2 linked regions of the Rhinolophus ferrumequinum genome follow. The protein of the gene in region 2 interacts with the protein of the main gene of each other region in a pairwise test. Links are inferred from orthologs where the notes say so. Each region holds a gene or a part of one and is shown on either strand. Other genes may lie near its edges.

Region 1 (6,660 bases), on a different chromosome or scaffold from region 2:
TCTGTCATGGGCCTCCCCTGTGCGGAGGATAGTGGTTTGGTGATAATGGCAGAGATTTCTGCGTCTGTACCCTTGTGTATACATACTTGGTCCTTCAGAATCAGAGACCATTTTCAGTGGACAGACCTCAGGATGGGAAAACAGGGCTGTAGGCAATCCTCTCCAGCCAAAACCTGCTTTCCCAACCCCTACCCCAAATAAGCCAGACAGTCTGGAGACCCTTGTTTTTGTGTTTCTAATCACCAGCTCAGACAGTGCCCTCTGGGCTGTTTGGATGGCATATCCCTTTTCCCTCCCAGGATCACTCTCTCTTTTGTTGCATTGTGAGAAAATTATGGCTAGGAATTTAATCTGGAGCCAGTGTTAGCTTCTGGGTGTGACCTCAGCATCCAAGTGCGAGCTCAGGGTTCTGTAGTGCTGGGTACACCTAACTGAGGAGCATTTTCTCTAGATGGCTATGAGACCTCTTCCCTCCCTGCCCACCCCCTCCTCCAGGCCACAGAATAGGGAGCGGCACAAACAAGGCCCTGAGATTTGGGTTTATTCAGCTCCACCCAGAACTAAACCAAAGACTAGGACATGTCCCAAGGGACCAAACCATACATTGTGGCCCATGCACTTTTCCATTCCCCCAAGGATGCTGCTGCCTCTCCGGTGGTGGCAGCTGCTCATATCATTGCACGAGGGAGAAAGTGCTGGGTGCTGGGTCTGTGGCACTCAGGGCTCAACTCTGGCTGCCTCCTCCTCTTCCTCCGGATCAGGAGGTGCAGGGAGCAAGGAGATATAGACCTCATTGACCTCAGTGTCCAAATGTCGGCCACCCCGAGGCGCCTCCAGGTTAAGGATGCCATCATGCGAGAGAGCAGCACGGACCCGCCAGGGGTCAACATCAGCAGGCAGGACATAGGTGCGGCAGAACTCTCGGGACACGAAGCCGTGGCGGTCCAGGCGCTGGGGGTGCCGGGCAGACACCTCCAGCAAGTTGTCCACAGTCCTCACGGTCACCTCATCTGGGGTAAAGTGGCTCACGTCCAGAAATGCCTGGAACTTGCCCTCACTGAGCCTGAGCTCGGAGGCCCCTGCCCTGCTGCCCTCCCCAGCTCTGGTGGCCCGGGGCCGGACATAGTAGCCATGGTAGAGGGTGGGGGTCAGGATCTCTTCTGGTAGGAGGCCTGAGGGGCAGAGAAAGAGAAGGCAAGAGGCAGGATGAGGGAGCATGAGGTAGGAACGGGGTGAAATGAGAGATGAGGACTGGGGAGAGCAGGAGGGGAGTCAGAAGTAGGTAAGGGGAGAGGGTGGGGGACACAGCGACTAGAAGGAGGCAACGGGGAGAAGGGATTGAGAAAGGAAATGAGATGGGGGCAGAGGAGGGCAAACCAAAGCAGAACTGGGTAAACAGAAGGGGAACAAGAGGCATCCTTAGGGGGGCAGGGGGCAGGTGTCAGAGCACTGCTCTTACCACCTCTACTCTGAGGTCAGTAGAAAGGGAAAAGAGCCCTGCTTGGAGGGAGTGAGGGGGGAGCTGGGGTGGGAGATGGCTCGCCCCAGGAGTTCAGTTAAGCCCGGAGTGGGGTGGAGGCCAGCACCGTTGGGAGGTCAGCCCAGAATTTCAGGCGGTGGGGGTGGGAGGCAAGGAAGTGGCGGCTGTGCCATACCTTCTCCGAAGCGCTGCTCACCCAGGCGGCTCGGGTTGGCAAACTCGTACTCGGCGGTGGCTGGGTGGGCATGTGGCACCGAGCGGCCCGACATGGTTGCAGACGTGTCAGAGGCCCCGGTCCGAGGTGCACCGAGACCCCACCAGCTGCCTGGAGAGCCAGGGCTCGGTCCGAGGTGGGGGCGGGGTCTACACCACCCAAAATAGTGTCGAGCCTCGAGCCTCGGGGAGGGGCGGGCAGCGGGGCCCTGAGCGCCAGCCAAGAGTGTGTGACCAGCGCTGCCTGGACCCCCGCCCCCTCCCCTGCACACCCTTCAGCTGTCGCAGGGGACTCCAGAGGACAGCTGGGGGTCCTGGCTGGGGAGCGAGCTGGGGAGCGGTGGCTAGCATTAGAGGCCCTAGAGAGGCCTCGCTGAGACCCTCACAGTTTGCACATTGTCCACGCCACCTTTTCTCCTCCTCAGTCGCACCCCACTTCATAAAGCTCTCCTGGATTTAATGTTCTGCCAGCCTTATAAGGTGAAAGAGGAACACTTTTCTTCCTTCTCTTTGGGGTGGGGTGAGGGCTCTTCCTGCCCAGATTAATGTCAGGGTCCTTACCTGAACCCACATCAACTTTGAGCACCACACAGATGCCTGCCACAGACATGTTGGTGATCACTGCTCTCCTCCAGGGACCCACAAAGAGTTAATGTCTCTGGGGCCCAGCCAAGGAAGATTCCAGTTCCTGCCCAGGCCCAAGATAGTTGCTGGCTGGATTCCCCTGGCTCCCTAGGCTGGAGAGGAGGAGGGGCACACCTCCTGCCTGCTTGGGATTCTTGACTCTGTCCCAGTCAAGGGGGGCGGGAGGGACGGGGTGGGGGGGATAGGGTGTGGGCAGAAAGCTAGTGAAACAAGTCCAGGGCAAGTCACTGGACAGCTCAGACGTGTTTGTATTTCTCTTTTCTTAGCTCAGTGAGTACTGGGTATGTGTCACACTGCCAAATCTCCGATCACAAGTCTCTATGAACGGGTGGTGAGCTAGGATAATAAAACCCCTGACATCACCGTTCCAGAAGCTTCACAAGACTGCATATATAAAGCGCTGGTTGTAGCTGCAGCTGAAGGAGCTGACCAGCCAGCTGACCCCCAGCAGTCAAAAAGCCACCATGGATATTGCCATTCACCACCCCTGGATCCGACGCCCCTTCTTTCCTTTCCACTCCCCCAGCCGCCTCTTTGACCAGTTCTTTGGAGAGCACCTGTTGGAGTCTGATTTCTTCCCACCTTCTACTTCCCTGAGCCCTTTCTACTTTCGGCTGCCCTCATTCCTGCGGGCACCCAGCTGGGTTGACACTGGGCTCTCAGAGGTAAGTCTCCCCTCTGTAGGACAGGAGAGTTCTTCCTGAACCTTCTGGAAAAATGTCTGTCTGCTCTACTTCTCCTGTCTGTCTAAATCTGGCTATGTCTAAGTGTCCTAAATCTCTTACGCAATTGCGTGTCCTGCAGCGAAGAAAGATGAGGTTACTAGTTCCTCTGTCTCTCCCCCAGTCACCTGTTTGTCTTTGATGCTTCTCTATATCCTACTTACTACATCTTTCCCATGTGCTAGGAAGATCATCCATACCCTAACTTCTAAGAAGGATGCCCCTTTCTGGTTTTGTTCATAAGTATCTACAGGGAAAGAGCTGCCTTCAAACTCCTTTGCTCACCATTTCTAATACCTCATACTCCTGACAAATTTTATCATCTTAAGTTTCAGACCAGGAGACAGCCCTACCTCATTGTGAGTTTGTCATCCCCACTGAATGGAGCTGGAGACAGCAACCGCTATTTTCTTCCTTCTTACTCCCTCTTCTGTGATTTTCTGAGTTTCTCAGGGCTGTGACAGGGCACTGGCCTGGGTCTAAGCCTAAGGAGGAAAGATGTAGGTCCAGTCTTAGGACCCCCACTTGTCCTAAGAGGGCGAGAGAATGGAGTGAACATACAAGGTGGACAGAAGCCGTCACAGATAACACTCTAGTTTAAAAATATTCAAGTGTGAATAAATAGGAGCTGAGTGGGCAAGGGCTTTGGAAAGACAATCATGGCCAGCACAACATTCCAGATTGAGTGGGTGGGAAACTTGGCAGAGACCTGAGCAAGAAGAAGAGGCCTTTGTCTAACAGACAAATGACAAGGCCAGGCATTGGGGTCAGAGAGGCAGTAGAAGCCAGGCCCAGACCCATCCTTGTGATTATTCCCCCTGGGTGGCCTGTTGTCTTCCCTGTCCCTGTAAATAAAGTTTGATCCTGATGACCAAGTGCTGTGCCTTGGGTACCACTGTGGTGGCTCCCCTAAACCAGAGAATCATGTTTATTTAAAAAGGAATTTTTTTGCCAAAAAGAGGAGACTAAATTACCTGCCTAGAAAGCAAGTCAGCAGAATGGTAAGACTGCACTACTTATCCACATTCCTACCATATTTTTCTCCTACCCCCTCCTCTCCACCTTACTATTTCTAGATGCGTCTGGAGAAGGACAGATTCTCTGTCAACCTGGATGTGAAGCACTTCTCCCCAGAGGAACTCAAGGTCAAGGTGCTGGGAGATGTGATTGAGGTGCACGGCAAACATGAAGAGCGCCAGGTATGCAGCTTGTTTTCTCTACTGTTCATTCATTCAGGGCATACTATATACATACCATCAGCCTTTGAGGCTGGCAACATTTCAGTCCTAAACCATTAGGGTCTGGAACAGGGATAGACCTGGCGTTGTTGTTGTTGTTTTGGCCAGAGACATGATCCGTTGTTTGTTTTGATTTGATTGCCTTAGATAGGACAAATGGGCTTCCCATTTAAGCCAGTGGTCCGAAACCTTAGCCACGTTAGAATCACAAAGGGAATTGTAAAAAATTCCAGTGCTCTGGTTTATCTCAGACCAATTAAATCAGAATTTTTAGGGATGGAACCTAGGCATCAACATTTTTATAAAGCTCCCTAGGTAATTCTAATGTACAGTCAAGGATGAAGACCGCTGACTTAGGCATAGTGCTTGTCCGACACCTGGTTGCTTTTCATAATTACATTAACTGCATGTACCCCGAAGGCTCTTGAGTTTGGGACTTTTCTTTTAGATGTTCAGGAATCCTTTTCTGTTTAGCCCTTCTTAGTCCTGAACTACACGGTCTGCCTAAGTTTCAGAGCTGTACTCAGCTCCTAATACTGTAGAGCCCATGTAGAAATCAGTTAATTAAGAGCCTGTCTGGATAAATGCTTGAGATTCAGCAGATATAAGGGTTAGGGTCCACTGCTCTTTAGCAGAATACTCAAGGATGGAATAACTTCTCATCACTTTCTGGGAGGGTTTTTTGATGGGTTTGCTTCTTACCAATTGGTGATAACTGAGAACCTTATTCATCAAACAGTACAGTTTTAGTCCCTCCGCCTGTTTCTGTTTTGTGTGTATGATTTTAGTTTGGGTCAGAGTCTCCCTGGATGGAGTCTTTTTTTTTTTTTTTTTTTTTTCCCCTAATGGTAGCAGTCCTATTGGCCTGGAACATTCTGGGACCTTCCCTGAAGAGTCAAGACAATTTCTAAGCTTCCTTAGGGATTCAGATCTTCAATGCCGGATGATATTCCAAATCCTGTAGGCCCAACAAACATAGATCTAATCCTCTGGGAAATACATCTAAACATATCCATGCCTCCGGGTTATGAAGTTTTGCCTGTTTCAGACTTCTCAGATTCTCATTGGTAGGAGTGACCACCTAGGCAGCTTCTTCTTCGTCCCAAAAAGGACAGCTTTTTTTCATGTTGCCACAGTATTGGTCATTCCTAAGGGGAAGGAGGATGTTTGAGTTCTAAGCAAGTGGTGCTATTTTCCTGTTCTTATCTCTCTGCCTCTTTCCTTGTTCTCTTGGATTAGGATGAACATGGTTTCATCTCCCGGGAGTTCCACAGGAAATACCGGATTCCAGCGGATGTGGACCCTCTAGCCATTACTTCGTCCCTGTCATCTGATGGGGTCCTCACCGTGAATGGACCAAGGAAACAGGCCTCTGGCCCCGAGCGCACCATTCCCATCACCCGTGAAGATAAGCCTGCTGTCACTGCAGCCTCCAAGAAGTAGATGCCCTCTCTCTAATTGCATTTTTTAAAACAAAAAACTTTCCCCACCAGTGAATGGAAATCTTGTGACTAGTGCTGAAGTTTATTAATGCTAAGGGCAGGCCCAAATTATTAAGCTAATAAAATATCATTCAGCAACAGATAACTGTCTTGTGTTTGAATATTCCACGTTTACTTTTTCAAATGGACAAATACAGCACATCCATTTAATCATCACATTATGATTTAGGGGGCTCCAGAGTCAGAATGAATATCTCCACCACTTACTAACATTATAAATTTAGCAAGTCATTTAATCTTTCTAGCCTGTAGGACTTCCATTTATAACATGGGGTTACTGATTTGTACGCTTGTTGTAAGGAGTAAATTAAGGAGAAAAAGTAGTTAAAGCCCTTGGCAGAGTTCAAGGAGTTCCTCTCTGTCCTCCCTCTTTGATTTAGGCCCTCAGTTCCAACAACAAATCTGAATAAACTCTGGAAAACAACGCATAAAAAGCCCTAGTGCCTCTCTGAAATTAATCATGTTTCCAGGGAGGAGATGGTACCACCTCACCGCCCATGATATTTGACATTTTCCTGTTGATAAGTATTGCCTTCAGCTGATTCACAAAGGCAATTCAATAGGACTTGAGTGATTATCATCAAACAAGCCTCTCAGGTGTAGTCTCTAAATTATCCAGCAAATACCTATTAAAACCAAGACTGGGAAATACCCAATTCAATGACCCACCATAAAAAAGTTGTTTTAGAATTATAATTAATAACTGATCAATAAGTGAGTCTATTATTTAGCTTAAACAAGGACATATTACTCTATAAAAACATCTTCATTTTATTTTGTTAGCCTAGACAAAACTTCTGATTCAATTAATGAAAAATAGCCCTGGTGTATGTTATCTGGCATAAATGTTTTTTCTTCTT
Region 2 (7,272 bases):
AGCGCCCTGGACATCCAGGCCTGCGCCTCACCTCTCCTCTCTTCAGCATGTCCCACTTATTCATGATCTTCATGGCGTACACCTGGCCGGTCTGCTTCATCTTCACCACCGCTACCTGAAGGTTGAAACGGGGTGACTTGGGTGGAGGTGGCGGAGGAGCAAACAGGCTGGCTCAGACGGCACTCCACCCTAAACCCCGCCCACCAGCCACATCACGCCCACTGGCCTCAAGTCCCGCCCCCATCCCCTGCTGGTCTCCGGTTCTAAACTCATTCATCAATTTCTAAGGCCCCGCCCCAAACTCCTGCCTCCCTCCCAAAGCACCGAAAGTCGAGGCTCCCGCCAAGCGGAGCAACCACCACACCTCAGGGCTCACCTCACTGAACGCCCCGCGTCCGATCACCTTCAGAATCTCGAAATCTTCCCTCTGCAGCCGGACCTCCTTAAGCCTTGTCGCGATGGGCTCCACTGGGGGGCGGGGGGCGACGAGAACTGAGGGTCACTGGGACTGACACTGGAGACGAGGAGAAGTCCCACCCTCTGGCCCTCAGTCTCCCTGCCCCTCGTTCTGTCCTGGGTCTCTCGGTCTCCCCCTTTCTCTGTCCCTCAGTGTCCCCTTCCCTCTGCCCCTCCCTTTAGGACTGTCTGCTTCCCAAGGGCTTCCCACACACTGTGTGAGGTTTTGTGGCCGCAAAACAGCCCTCCTACAGAGAAAGGTGGGGTGCCTGGGAACCCCTTTTTTGAACAAGGCATTGGGCCAGAGGGATTTGTGGGAGCAGGATGATGGGGAGGAAGGCAAGTCTGCAGAAGGGAGGCCCTGAAGAATGCAGGAAGAATAGGCCCAGTACTCCCTGGGCTTCAGGCCCCCACCCCAACTCAGAGTGATGGGGAAAGCCCGGCCCACTCCAGGCTTCTCTCAGTCCATTCTGGAACATGCAGTTTTATCCAGTTCCTCTAGGTTCAGAGTCAGGTGGCTCTTGGACCACACTTTGGGAAACACTGGATTTGGGGGCAGAGGGCCAAGAGAACTAGGAGAGAGTGACCGCATCTGGGCGCCAGGCCGGTTCAAGTGTTCTCAAAGTCCTCTCTCTCAACTCCAGGAGGAGCACTCTATTATTATCCCTTATTTACAGATGGGGACTCCAGGCTCAGACAGGTGAAGTTATTTGTCCAAGGTCTTACAGCTAAGAATGTTAAACAGAGCAGGTTGGGAATAGGGAGCCTGGGGGTGGAGGCAGGAGACTCAGGGACACAGAGAGGGAAACCTGGACCCCCTGGGGGTAGAAGCCTCTGGGGAACTCGGAGGCAGGGTGGAGAGAGGGATGGGTGCAAGTAGGAATGAGGGGTGATACAGTGAGTTATGGAGGGCAGAGGGGGCCCCCATGGGGTTCGGGGAGAGTGGGCCGTCAGGGAAGAAACAGTCAGGGCCCAGGATGGGGGAGGGAGGAGAGAGCCAAGACATTGAGCCCTTTTAAGGCAGCGGGAACCCAGGCCCCCTCCCCCGCCCTGGCAGCCCACAGGGGAGGGGCCGTAGGATGCTGCTCGGGCCACAAAAGGAGTGCTCCTCAGGGGAGAGCCGGACCCCTGCCCCCACCTCAGCCTCAGTTTACCCTGCCAGTCCTCTGCAAAAGGGGGACTAAGAGAGTTGCTAAGGGCTGGGGGAAGGTGGAGAGAAGGTTTTTCCAGAGGCTGAGTGGCCTGGCCCTTGACCTCCACCTTCCTATCTTGAAAATGGGAGGGGGACGGACAGGAGCAGGGCCTGGGTCCCAAAGACATGGACACAAGTAAAGAGGGAGCAGGACAAGGCAGAGAGAGGAAACAGAGGGACGGAGAGAACTAGGGACACACAAGAACCTCAGGACCAAGAGCAAGTCACTGAGGGACAGATCAGTGGAGGTACAGTGGCAGGGGTCACAGAGAAACTCCAGTGAGTCTGAGTCCTGGGCCAGGAGAGCATGTGAGCAGACAACACAGGAGGCTGAGGTTGTAGCATCTTCCCTCTGGGCCTTTCTCCAGGGAAAGGCCTGGCAAGAGGGGGCTTTGGGGAGAGCTGGAAAGCTGGAGGTCATGAACTAGAATGAAAGGACCTGGGGAGCTGGAGGGGAGTTTAAGGCTGGCACATGCAGACTAGGAGGGACCAAGACCAATGGGGGAGGGGTCCTTCATCCAAGGGGTGGAGGGGGTGCTGGGTGGTGCCTGTCTGCAGAGCTGGTTCTCCCCCAGGGCCTGCCTGAGTCACTGCACCCTCCCAGTGCCTGGGCACCTGTTGGGGCAGCTGGAGAGGCTGGCGCCGAACACCTGCCTGCCGGCCGCACCCCTGGCAGCTGCCCCATCCTATCCCTTCTGCTAGCCCATGCTCTGGGAAGCCAGGGTTGAGGCCACAGGGCCCGTTTTGGTGTGTGGGGGTTCTAGGAGATGGGGCTCCCAGCATGTCCCTAGGCCTAGACTCGGGGAAGGGGATGCTTGGGGGGGGGCCATGAGAGACTTCCCAGCCCAGCCTACCATGGCTCCCAAATCATGGTTCTGAGTCATGGCTGCCCTGGACTCTGCTGACCCCACTCTGCCTGGCCAGGGTGGCACAAAGGTAGGGGCATGTCACCCCAGGACCCAGGTCCAAGCTCTGGGCCCCTGAACGATCTCTCCCCATAACTATCCTGATACCCCTGAGAGCCCGACCCCATCTCCTGCCTCTGCCCTGCCCTCACCCTCCCAATGTGGGGGAGCCCATGCCAGCAGGCACTCACCCCACTGCAAGAAGTCGGCCACGTACTTGTCCTGGGCCAGGTCGGAGGCGCCCAGCTCCTGGTGGACGCCCAGGAGAAGGTCGAGCAGGGGCTCCAGCCCCAGGAAGCCGGGGTCCAGCACCAGCTGCTGGAGCCGCCTCAGCCGCACCTCGGCTGACATGTCGGGCAGGCAACACCATGGCCCCTCCAGGGGCTCGGGGTCCTCCGTCACGGGGCCTGGCAGCCCCTGTCCAGGCCCTGGGGCCCTGGCCGCATGTCGGCCTGTCCCTGGCTGTCCCCTGGGCCTCTCTGGCCACTTCTCTCTGCTGGCTGCAAAGGCCTCCTCCCCTCTCCCCTCCCCTCGGCCGGCCCCCTCCCTGCCTTAACCCCTGATAAGCCAGGCCCCCCAGAACGCTTCCGTGAGATTAAGGGGGTGGAGAATCTCAACACTCAATACACACCCAGCCCATAAAAAGGCGGAGCACAAAGGAACGCTACAGGTGTGACAGGCCAAACATGAGCCCTCCCATTCCCCAGAGGGGGCCTACTGAGGTCCAGAGTTACCTGGTAACACCCCTCCCAAGCCCTGGAGTTGGGGGGAGGAGAAAGGGGTGAGGCCTGGGAAGGGGGACAGGAGGCCAGGGCAGCTTTGCGGGTGACTCAGCCCCAGATTCAGACTTTGGGCCAGTTTAAATTTAGCCCTCAGGCCCTCTGCTTTACACTGACTTTTTTTTGGCAGGAGGTGGGGAAGGGGTGGTGAAAGAATCGGGAAGGGAGGCCCTCAGGAGCCAGGACCGGGGGTGATCCACTGGCCAAAGCCTGGAGGAGGCAAAGGAGACCCCAAAATAGCTCCTTGGCCCCTGGCATGAAGCCACATTCCTGCCCAGGCTAGGATTAGAAACAGAAACATTTCGGGGGGTGGAGGGCGGAACGGGAGAGCCAGCCAGGAGGGATTTCGTTGTCCTTTCCAGGACGGACAGTTCTCCGGGAGGAAGCCATGGTCGCTGGCAGGCTAGGCGAGCCAGGCCCTGAGGCAGCAGACCTGTGCTCAAGGCCACTCACGCTAGGCCTTGGGAGCTGCCTGTGGGACCCCACCTAGGAAGGCCCTGTCATTTCTGATTTGGACAGCTTGGGCATTTTCAAACAACTCTGCAAACTCCCGGGGAGGACTTTGAAGAGGGCGTCCCTCCTCCTGCCTTCCGTTTTTCCTGCTATTAAAAGGGGGCGGGAGAGGTGAGGGTGGTGGGGGATGCAGGGCCTGGCTGCTCCCTGGTGAAAGTGGATTGATCAGGCAACGCAGTGCAAGCACACACACACTTCCTCCACACTGCCACTGAAGGAAGAGACGCTACACTGAGAAAACAGGGAGCTTTAGTATAAATAAGAGGTGCTGGGGATAGGGAGGGCCCCAAGGGGCTTCCATAACTTAACACTCTTTAAAAGCACAAACAACAGCAAGGGGGGCAGGGCCAAGGGAGGGGTGGGCCACCCCTGCCCTGCCCACAGATGAGGGGCACACGGCAGAGCTGGGGCTCTTGTGAGTGGGGAGCTTCTCGCCTCCCTGGAGTGACCAGTCACATGCTGGGGACAGGGATGAAGCTAACACTGATGTTTCAGAGGAAGGGTCATTGTACTTGGCAGTGGGTGGGGACAGGCTGAGGCCACACAGGCCACTACATCCCCCCAGGGTCTGGGCCAGTCTGGGGACCCTCTGCCCCCCAAATTTGTGCATAATGGGGGACCGGAGCAGTCCATCCGTCATGGTTAGTCTTGTTAATCCGTTGATCCGTGAGGTCAGCAGGGAGTTATGGCTAGGAGCGGGGGGTGGGGTGGGGGACCCCGACATCCATGGCTTCACACCACTGTGCCGCTTGGGGAGTTGCCTGCTTGAGAGGAGATGCCCTGGGGAAGATGAGAGGGGAGATAGGAGGGGTTAGAGACCATGTGGGGTTCGGCCAGCCCAGACCCCCCCACCCTCCAGAGGCCGCTGCTCTAGGCTCAGAAACTTACATCTCCGCTAGCTTCCTTGTCTCAGCAGGCGGCACTTTTATACAATAATTAAAGTACTCAGGTGATCCTGAGCAGAGGGGACAGGGTGGAGGAGGAGGTGGGGAAGAGAGGGGAAACTGGGGTCCCCTTCTGACTGAGGGGGTGTCCTGAGATTCTGGGGGGGAGAGAACTCAGGGACAGTCCTACCTCTACCACTGACTTGCTGGGTGACCTGGGCCAACTTCCTTCCCCTGCCTGGGCCTCGGTCTCCTCGTCTGTGAACTAGGGAGATAGAGGGGTCTCCTTCAGGACTTGCCAGACTCCCCAAATCCCAATGCCCCACTTCTGAGGCTCTGAGACTGGGCTGTAAGTTCTAGGGATACAGAACCTTATGATTCCAAAACCGCTCTTCTGAGGAACTAAGCCATGGCTGTCAGACCTGGTATCCTGTGCGCCCGAGCCCAGACCCCGAGGAGCTCAAGACAGGAGCCCAGAGCGCCAAGGTTACGAGGTGCCAGGCCTGTGCTCCACCTCCCGGGGTTTTCCTGAACCACAAGGCCACCCCAGGAGCTGGACGCATCCCTACCCATCCAGCCATCTTCGAGCTTCCCTGTCCTAAGTGGAGACTAGGGACTTGCCCGAAGTCACACAGGGAGCAGAGCAGGACTGGACCCCGAGCCTGGGATTCCACAGTCCGTGCCTTCAGCAGTGGTCTCAGACCCCAACAGTCCAGACCCAGGCTGGAAGCTGGGCCCAAGGCTCAGTCTTGCCCAGAGTTTGACCCACAATATGCAAAAAGATTTATTTAGAAAAATAGTATTTTCCATAGAAATACAGACCCAGCTTCAAGTAACAAGTGTTAAGACCTGGCCATGCTGGGCTCATTCATAGCCTGGCTCACTCCCAGCTGTCTCTTCTAACTGACCCACTCTCCTTATTGTCACCAAGGGTTCTGGAGCCTGTCACTCTAAGATCTGAGACCCTAAGATTTCCATGGCTTCCCCTCATCCCACAGGGCTAGAGGCTGTGACAGTGACAAAGTCCTCTGCCAATACCCGCCTCTTCCTGGGTCCCAGGCTGGCTGGAGTGGCTGACTCACCGCCTTGCCCGGCCGGGCCCAGGTGCAGATGAGGCCCTCCTGGCAGGCGGTGATGATGCAGTCCTCCAGGAACAGGAGGACCGTTAGCCGCTCCTGGGCGATCTTCTTGCACACCAGGGGCTCGAGCAGCGGCACCTCATGGATGCGCGGGCACAGCGCTGTGCCCAGCACCTTGGCTGGGTCCAGCCGGCTGCGGGGCACGGGGCCGCTGGGCTTGTCCCCGCTGCTGCTGCCCCCGCCGCCCCCCCGGCTGATGTTGCCCAGGCTGTGGTAGCGCTTGTGCTCCTTCTCAGCGCCCCGGTCTCGCCGCTCCTGCAGCGTGAGTGTGGCGAAACGGCCGATGCTGAATGGCGTGCCTGGCTCTGTCACCGCGCCTGGGCCGCCCGCCTTGCCACTGCCCGCTGGGTGAGGAAGGCTGTTAGAGCGGGACAGCGAGCGTGGCAGGGGCCCGGGGCCTGGCTCGCCACCCCGAGAACTGCTGGCGACAGGTGGTGTGGTGCCAGGCGTGCTGGGAAGTGTGCGGGTGCGAGCCAAGGGTGGGTGTGGGTAAAGCACATCTTCGGTGAGGTCCCACAGGCAGAACTGCGTGTCTTGGCCAGCGGAGCCAAAGCGGTAGGTGATGGAGCCGGCCTTGGGCATCGGCGACAGGGGGGCTCCCCCTCCCGAGCCTGGGCCCGTGGCCTCTGGCTCCTCCTCCTCCTCCTCCTCCTCACCACTCGGTTCCCCCTCACCACTGGCGGCTGCCGCCTCCTCAGCCCTCGTGGTGTAAGGGTCAAAGGCCACAGCATTGACCCAGGACTTGTGGCCGTGGCCACGGGCCACCACGCGGCCCTCAGTGAAGGACCACACGGTGACCAGGTCATCCTCACCACCTGTCACGACGTAGCGCCCGTCGGGGCTCCAGCACACGCAGAGCAGGCCCCCAAAGTAGCTCTTCATGAGCCCCCGAAGGAGCATGGAGTCGAAGTGGAAGACGCGCAGGCAGCCGTCCTGGCTGACACAGGCCAGATGCCGGCCATCGGGCGAGAATGCAAACTCGTTGAGGGGCCCCTCGCCCACCGCCCACTTGGCCAGTGGGTTGCGGGGCGCCTTGCTCTTGGCAGCGTAGACAGCGAAGCCCTCCCCCTGCTTCAGCAGGCTGTACTGGGGCGGTGCCGAGGCACATGGGTGGCTGACGTTGTACAGGTACAGGTGGCCGCTGGCGTGTGATGCCAGGAACAGGCTCTCCGACTCAGGCAGCCACTTCAGATATGTCACCTTGGTCTTGTCGATCAGCCGCTGCCAAAGGAGACCGTGGGGGTTGGGAGAAGGCAATCAGCCCCTGGCAAGCTTCCTCCCCAACCTGGTTCCCCAGGAGGCCATCAGACATGGCCCAGACCTCCTGGAAGAGAGGCCGCCACCCAGGGAAACTGACAGGCATGGGAACGCAGGGGGGAAGGGATACCCACGAGGTGGCCACAG

The links.
Region 1: the proteins of DMPK (region 2) and HSPB2 interact in a two-hybrid assay, tested with the Homo sapiens proteins (2 studies listed by BioGRID). The link is inferred for Rhinolophus ferrumequinum from reciprocal best matches to the Homo sapiens genes DMPK and HSPB2.

Annotation. Positions count from the first base shown.
Region 1 is NC_046294.1:80,287,651-80,294,310, reverse strand, and holds HSPB2 (heat shock protein beta-2), read right to left. Parts: upstream 2,161-6,660; 5' UTR 1,750-2,160; coding exon 1,656-1,749; intron 1,173-1,655; coding exon 718-1,172; 3' UTR 511-717; downstream 1-510. Other genes in the region: CRYAB (alpha-crystallin B chain), read left to right, coding at 2,803-3,003, 4,137-4,259, 5,538-5,741. UniProt on the Homo sapiens protein: May regulate the kinase DMPK.
Region 2 is NC_046298.1:42,059,029-42,066,300, forward strand, and holds the start of DMPK (myotonin-protein kinase), read right to left. Parts: upstream 3,080-7,272; 5' UTR 2,905-3,079; coding exon 2,745-2,904; intron 469-2,744; coding exon 377-468; intron 116-376; coding exon 32-115; intron 1-31. Other genes in the region: DMWD (dystrophia myotonica WD repeat-containing protein), read right to left, coding at 4,578-4,625, 4,920-4,994, 5,812-7,089. UniProt on the Homo sapiens protein: Non-receptor serine/threonine protein kinase which is necessary for the maintenance of skeletal muscle structure and function.